Callithrix jacchus: one gene and its partner. The protein of the gene in region 2 purifies or fractionates together with the protein of the main gene of each other region. This does not show direct contact. Links are inferred from orthologs where the notes say so. Each region holds a gene or a part of one and is shown on either strand. Other genes may lie near its edges.

Evidence for each region. The genes of interacting proteins can lie anywhere in the genome.
Region 1: the proteins of SNX24 (region 2) and CSNK1A1 purify together in Homo sapiens (affinity purification with mass spectrometry; 4 studies listed by BioGRID and IntAct, counting the BioPlex papers as one, with this or other methods). This does not show direct contact. The link is inferred for Callithrix jacchus from reciprocal best matches to the Homo sapiens genes SNX24 and CSNK1A1.

The regions. Positions count from the first base shown.
Region 1 is NC_133503.1:48,201,020-48,204,519, forward strand, and holds part of CSNK1A1 (casein kinase I), read right to left. Parts: intron 1,483-3,500; coding exon 1,343-1,482; intron 1-1,342.
Region 2 is NC_133503.1:86,505,844-86,510,141, forward strand, and holds the start of SNX24 (sorting nexin-24), read right to left. Parts: upstream 2,801-4,298; 5' UTR 2,781-2,800; coding exon 2,721-2,780; exon of another isoform or gene 2,613-2,720; intron 2,532-2,612; exon of another isoform or gene 2,305-2,531; intron 1-2,304. UniProt on the Homo sapiens protein: May be involved in several stages of intracellular trafficking.

The sequences.
Region 1 (3,500 bases), about 38 Mb from region 2:
GTCTTATGCAAGAAGCTACTATTTAAGGTGATTTTTAAAAGTTCATGTGTTACCTCTAAACAAAACTTTTCTCATGGAATCCAAAATCAGACAAACAACTGTCTTACAATTTAATTTTATTTATTTCTTTTTTTCACTCTTCACACACACAAAAAAAACCTTAAAGATAACAATTTAATTTTAAAAGAACAAAAAGGATTTAGCTAAACAATTCTCTAGAGAAATGAGCTTAATGAATCAAGCAGGGCAACATTTCTAAATTTTGCAGAAACTCATCAAGATAACTTAGGAGGCTGGGCTCAGTGGCTCACGCCTGTAATCCCAGCACTTTGGGAGGCTGAGGCGGGTAGATCACCAGAGGTCAGAAATTCAAAACCAGCCTGACCAACATGGAGAAACCCCATCTCTACTAAAAAAAAATATGAAACTAGCCGGGCATGGTAGCAAATGTCTGTAATCCCAGCTACTCGGGAGACTGAGGCAGGAGAATCGCTTGAACCTGGGAGGTGGAGGCTGTGGTGAGCCAAGGTCTCGCCATACCCCTCAACCCTGGGCAACAAGAGCAAAACTCCATCTCAAAAAAAAAAAAAAAAAAGTGCTGAAAAGGAGTTTACAACTTAAAACTAATGGAATATCTGAACATCTATATCAATGTATTCACACATACATATCTATACATACAAATATACAGATAGATAGGTTTAAGGATAGGTAATTCTTTGGCATATAGGACAAATGACATTACAGTTTAACCTAGGATATTCAGATATTCATGGGTATCTTAAGCTTGAAATCATTTGTATGAGGTTCTTAAACCTGGACGCATACCATTGTTTTTTCCAATTACTTCTATGTTTGTTTTAATGAATGAAAAGTGAGTAGAAAAGATGAACTTGAAACTCTAGAACTCATATGAAGAAACAGAAAGAGAGCAGAGACTGAAATTTTCTTACTTTAAACTAGATCCTATTAATTGACATATTTGAGTGAAGTATAACAGGAGATTAACATTAACCCCCTTTTGGTTTGTTAGGACACTAATAACATATTTTCAGCTGCAAAAAGAAATTTCAACATTGCACTTAGGCTTCTAACTTTCAATCAAGCAGTATTTTCCCCTCAAGAAACAACCTGCAACAACAACAACAAAAAACTAAAATACCTCATTTAACTGGCTTCTCAACGCTGGCTAAAGCAGCAGGTAAAATGATTAATAAGCATCCTTCAAATCCTCAGCCAAGAAACATTCTTAGACATTGTAAGGAACTAATTAAAATATTTCAAGAACCCCTTGACGGCTTCTGCTATGGCTATGATAAGCACATTCCATTTTCTAACTTACCTTTGCTCAATACCAAGATGTGCATTGATGCTAGCATATCGGGCAGTGCCAGTGAGGTTTTTATCTTCTCTGTATGGTATGTGTTGCCTTGTCCTGTTGTCTCTGTACTTTTTGGCCAAACCAAAATCAATAAGGAATAACTTTAAAAGAGAAATACAGAAACATTAGGTTTCCAACCTTGTTCAATTAAACTGCTTCTTATTCATTAAATGGAATCTATACTATGCATTCAAATATATCAAAATAAAGTATCCCAAGTATTACTAGAACAGATAATGAACAGACTTAACACCTCCCATAAGCTTTTACTAGTCTTCATCATTAAATCAAATTTTTAAAAAGTCTAGTAGTTTATTCTCGTCGTTTGCAAATCTCACAGGCCCATTTCATTACATACACAGGAGCCTGTCTTTATAAAGTAAGTAGAGAAATGTATACAAGACTGACAGCAGAAGTGACAAGTGTGCTACTTGTCATAATGACACCTGATAGTCTGTTACTATCGGTAAACAAACATCAGGTTTCAAAATCTAGATATAAGGGCCAAGAGCGATAGCTCATGCCTATAATCCCAGCACTTTGGAAGGCTGAGGCGGGAGGATCACTTGAGGTCAGGAGTTCAAGACCATCCTGGCCAACATGGCAAAATCCCATCTCTACTAAAATTACAGAAATAGCCAGGGGTGGTGGCAGGCACCTGTAGTCCTAATTACTCAGGAGGCTGAGGTAGGAGAATTGCTTGAACCCAGGAAGCAGAGGTTACAGTAAGCCAAGACTGCACCATTGCACTCCAGCCTGGGAGACAGAGCAAAAACTCCATCTCAAAACAAAATAAAACAAAAAAAACAGATATATGCTATCTCAACTCCTCCCTCCTACAAAGGCCAACAGAATGCTTGTTATCTACCCTAAAAGTCTAATACTGGCAGCGAAACAAAGCCTTTTTATTAATAAAAAATACTACTTAGCACTGACACAATACACGTGTTAGGCTAAACTTCTGGAAAATTTAACAAGCTGATATAAAAATCCCCCCAAAAAGCACTTAACATTTAAATCAGGGTGGCTTACAATTAGTAGTTTAAGTGAGCTAACTAAAAACAAAACTAGTGTTTAAAACAAAATAACGTTTAGTGTTATCTTGTCTATATGGTACTCGAGGAATAAGTTATTCATTTGGTTTTTTTTTCTTTTTTGCAGCAGAGAAACCTGAATAAAGGGTATTCATTTATAATGTAGCTAATTGTTCTATATAATTCAACTTTACACTCTAGAATTTAAGCCTTTTATAAGTAAATAACTATTTTTATGAGAGGGAAAAAAAACCCTCCAAAACATATTCATTTTACCTATCATATGAAGAGAAATAATCTTTCCTTAAGATTTTGGCCTTGGTCATAAAATCACCTATTATGCTATATTTTAATAATAGTTAATCTACAATTATTATTAAGCTGGGCAGGTCTATGTTCCCTTAAACTATATAGACCTAGTCTATTGTTCTCTAGTTATTCCTGCATTTTGTAGTTCTTCTCTCCATTAGGCTATTGGGTCCCTTTTGCCAGTTTATAATTTGTGATGTGCAGGGAAACACAATCACCTAACCTGCAGATTTCATGTCAATAAATAAATAAATAAATAAAGCAAGTTACTGATTTAGGTTATAAAGATCTGACCAAGTACCTCTCTTAGGAGCATGAGTAACATCTATTTCAGCCAAGCATTATAACCTATTCTCAATTATACTCTGAACAATAAGACACTGACATTTGAGCTTCAGTCACCATGTCGACGAGATACTTATTTTTACTTAGTTCACTATAAAAGAATGAAGACTAAATTATTAGTAAATGTTACTAGATGATGAAAACTCTCCAAGTAATAAGATTAAACTCCCTTCCTAAGCAATCAAATAATTATAGGAAAATTAGTGTTGTAAAACACTAAGAAATAAAGTTCATACTTTAAAAGTTTCTCTTGATATGAAAACCAGCTCAATACACAAATATTAAAATGAGCAAAATACATTTATTAAGCAAAACAAAAATGATGATTAAGTTCTGCAGATTCATAGTGAAAACAAAACATGGGGAAAATAAACACAAAAGGACATTCAGCTTCATGGTATTTTAAAAATATCTCTGAGGAATATGTAGAC
Region 2 (4,298 bases):
CTACTCAGGAGACCAAGGGGGAGGATCACTTGAGCCCAGGAATCCAAGGCTAGGATTGTACCATTACACTCCAGCCTGTGTGACAGAGCAAGACTCTATTTCTTAAAAACACACATATATTAGCCGAGTGTGGTGGGCACCTGTAATGCCAGCTACCTGGGAGGCAGGAAAACTGCTTGAACCCAGGAGGCGGAGGTTGCAGTGAGCCAAGACAGTTCCATTGCATTCCAGCATGGGTGACACAGGGTGACTCCATCTCAAAAATATAAAAATAAAAACACACACATACAAACATAATCGCTAAAGTAAAACGCTATTTTTTGCACTAAAGTGTACATTATTTTACCAGCTTCTTATTTAGGAAACAAAGATATTTTTTAAATTCCGGGTTTTTTTTTTTTTTTAGCTGCTAATATTCATAGCTTGTTCACTGCTATATTCCTTATACCCCTAATACAGACACAGAGCAGGCACTCAGTAAATATTTGTTGAATGAAAAAACTACTGTACAATTATAAAGCCAGTTTTTCAGAGGGGAAAAGCACCTAACATCTGGTTCACAAATTCACAGAGGCCAAAAAAAAAATCACTTCAGAAGGTATTTTAGAGCTGGACGTGGTAGTTCACGCCTGTAATCCCAGCACTTTGGGAGATATAGGCTGGTAGATTGCTTGAGCACAGGAGTTCTAGACTAGCCTGGGCAACATGGAGAAACCCTGTCTCTATAAAAAATTTAAAAATTAGCCAGGAGTGGTGGTGTGTGCCTGGAGTCCCAGCTACTCCGGAGGCAGAGGTGGAAGGATTACTTGAGCCAAGGAGGCAAAGATTGAGGTGAGCTGAGATCACCCCACTGCACACTTGCCTAGGTGCAAAAGACTGTCTCAAAAAAGATAACAGAGATTTTAACAGTTTAGCTCCCAATCTGGATGAGTTAGGATTTTTTTAAGCAAATATTTAAAGAGTGAAATCTCATCACGTAAGTAATCTTCAAACTCTACCGAATTTGTCCGAAAAAAGAGCTCCTTCAAATCAGTTTAATTCACAACCTGGAGTGTGGCACATGCCTGGTCATAAATACAAATAATAAAAAGATACATAAAGCTTTGGGAGAAAAACACAGCTGTCTAATAGACGAAAATCAATAATGGACAACGAGTCTTAATTATGGTCTATTTCAAAGTGCTTATTTCTGCAGGTAATTAACTTTTAGCTTGAACCAGTGAGATCAACTTCATCTTTTCTTTGAAAGCCAACGCCCCTAACAAGGTGCCTTTTGATCTTCAGATCCTAAAAGAATGTCCCATAGATGGTAAGCCCTCTATGACCACTGACAGTGCTGATGGGAGAAGCGAGGTACCTGGGAGACCAAACAACAAGCAAGGTTTTAGGCTCAAGAGACTTGTTTAAAATCTCCAAGAAAAAAAAACAGCCTTGAACAAACTCGAGTTTTTTTTTTTTTTTTAAGGAAGATACAGACTAACGAAATGTGAATGCATTGGAAAGGATAATTTATATAAACAACTGCCACTGTGGAGCACAGCTCCCTCTCCGTGCAGTTTCCTTCCCAAAGAAAGCACTTTTAACAACTTGCTTCAGAACACTTGACCCAGCAGTCTACACGATTCTAAAAACCCACCCACTTCCTGGACTAGTTTTTCAATCACTGTTTTTCATTCTAAATCTTCCTTTGAGAGGGTAATTTAGTCCCAACTATGAAAACACAAGGGCCCAAACAGACTGTCACCAAATATCAGTAATGTTTAGAGGAGGGAAGTAAAAACACTCTCCGTCAAACTAACCTAACGGGTGTTTAGCGAGCGAGTGACTGGTGTAAATAAAATAACAATCCCTTCAGACTGTCCTGCAATCTTCCTCCAACCCTCCCGGCTCTTTAACAACTGAAAATAAATTCCTCCAAGGTGCAGGCCCTCTCAGACATTTCTGCCACTAGCAATGACTGTCCAGGAAAGAATGCTTTGAATTCACTGGGAAATCTCCACCAACAATTCACTTAGTAAACTTGTTACTCAAAGGACCCATGCCTTAGTCTCTACTCTCCCCTTCCCTCTTGAGACCACCGGTCCTGGTTCACATATCTCGGTGACCACAGTCGGTGACTACGTCCTGGGTATGAAACAGGTGACCAGCAAGTGATTTTGCCATTTCATGGAACTGCACAACTCAAAAAGAAAAATCTTTGGAAACCATCTCAAATCAATACGTGTGTTCAGTTTGGTTAATAAACAGCTACAAATGATTAAAAAAAAAAAAACAGGTTTTCCAGTTGAACGAACTGTACAGAACCTGGAAGCCAGTGTGAACCTGCCGCGAAGCTACTACTGTCTGGACTGAGGGCAGCTGTGCCAGAAAGAAACGCAGCCCATGCTGGACGCCCGAAGGCAGGTGGCCAGGAGAATGGCGAGCGCTGCGTCCGAGGACTGGACTCCCCGCGTTCCTGCCCCGAGGCCGGGAGCTCAGCCGGGAGGAGAAGGGTTGGACCCCGAGGGGCTGCGGGCGTCCGCAGCCGCCGCGCCAGGGAGGGGCGCCCGTTTCCTTGACAACCGCGCCAAGGCGGAGTCCTTCCTCTGGGCCGGGGGAGGGGAGAGAGGAGCGAGGGGACCCCCTGCGCCAAGGCGGCGGCGGCGGCCGCGGGTGTTTCTTGGGCGCAGCAGCCGCAGGCCCGCCTCGCGGGGCCCTGTCCGGCCGCGGCTCGCGCCTACCGTGTATCCCCGCTCCAGGTCACTCTCCTCGTAGCGAAAGGACGGGATGTAGACTTCCATGGCCTTGCCGGCCAGCCGGCGGAGGGTGAGTGGGGGGCGGGCTCACGGCCGCGACCGCCGCTCCGCCCACCGCCGGGCCGCCCCGCCTCCCGCTCCCAAGCGCCCGCGGGGCCCGGAGGCTGCGGGTCGGGATTCAAGTCCGCGCGCTGACGCGGTCGCTCGCCGCGCCCAGGGCGTGCCAGGGCAGGGAGCAGAGGGCGCAGGGCTCCTGGCGCCTGGGTTTCGGGCCTAATGGGCGGTGGAGATCAGCTGGGCCCGAAGGAGGCGGGGCCAGAAAAATCTGAGCCTGCAGAAACCAATTGTGTGCGCCACCGCGCTAGGCGCAGGGACTGGGCCGCACCCGGTGCCCACTACCCAGCGGATTTCGGCGGGCGCTTGATTTGCAGTTTGCTAGACACCACCATTAACAGATTGCCAGACAGCAAAGAATAGAAAGCGTGGCGCTTTTAACTTTTGTTTTGTTTGGTTGAAATTTGTTTTTGTCTCTCGGCTGGTATTAACGGGTGAACCATCCAGCTTTTACCAAGACTCTCCGATTTCCTTTCGACTCGTCGGTCACCGTCTCCTTTTGAGTTAGCCGTCGAATCTGGGAATGTTGTTGTCCCACCGAGTTCGAAGTGAACCTAAAAGTTGGCAGGTCACTAAGAGACAAACGCTCTGACTTCACGCTCCAATTCTAAAATGCTGCCCTCTAACTGTGAAGTGCTTTTTTAACTATAAGGGAAAAACAGAAGACAAAAAAAAAAGAAAGAAAGAAAAGGAGGGACTGAACCCCGCACCTCGGACCAGGACCTAGTAGCCTGAAGGTCCCTAAAATATGAAGTGTCCCAGCGGAGGAAGCTTGATTATCAAGTTACTCAAGTAAACACTGAGTTTCTTCTTTAGGTTAAAGCACGGAGAATAGAAACGTGGACTTAGACGGGCGCGGTGGCTCACGCCTGTAATCCCACCACTTTGGAGGCATAGGCCAGCACATCAGGAGTTCGAGATCAGCCTTAACATGGTGAAACCCCGTCTCTACTAAAAATACAAAAATTACCCCGGGCATGCTGGTGCGTGCCTGTAATCCCAGCTACTCAGGAGGGTGAGACACGAGAATCACTCGAATGCGGGAGGCAGAGGTTGCAGTGAGCTGAGATTGCACCATTGCACTCCAGCCTGGGCGACAAGAGCAAGACTCCGTCTGAAAAAAAGAAACAGGAAAAAAAGGCCGAGCGCGGTGCCTCATGCCTGTAATCCCAGCATTTTGGGAGGCCCTGGTGGGCAGATTACAAGGTCAGGAGTTCGAGACCAGCCTGACCAACAAAGATGAAACCCCATCTCTACTAAAAATACAAAAATTAGCCAGGTGCATAATATCAGCTACTCGGGAGGCTGAGGCAGAAGAATCGCTTGATCCCGGGAGGCGGAGGTTGCAGTGAGCCGAGATCGCACCACTGCACTCCAGCCTGGGCGACAGAGCAAGACTCCATCTCAAAAAGAAAAACAAAGAAAAGAAATATGGATGTGATTTGTTGG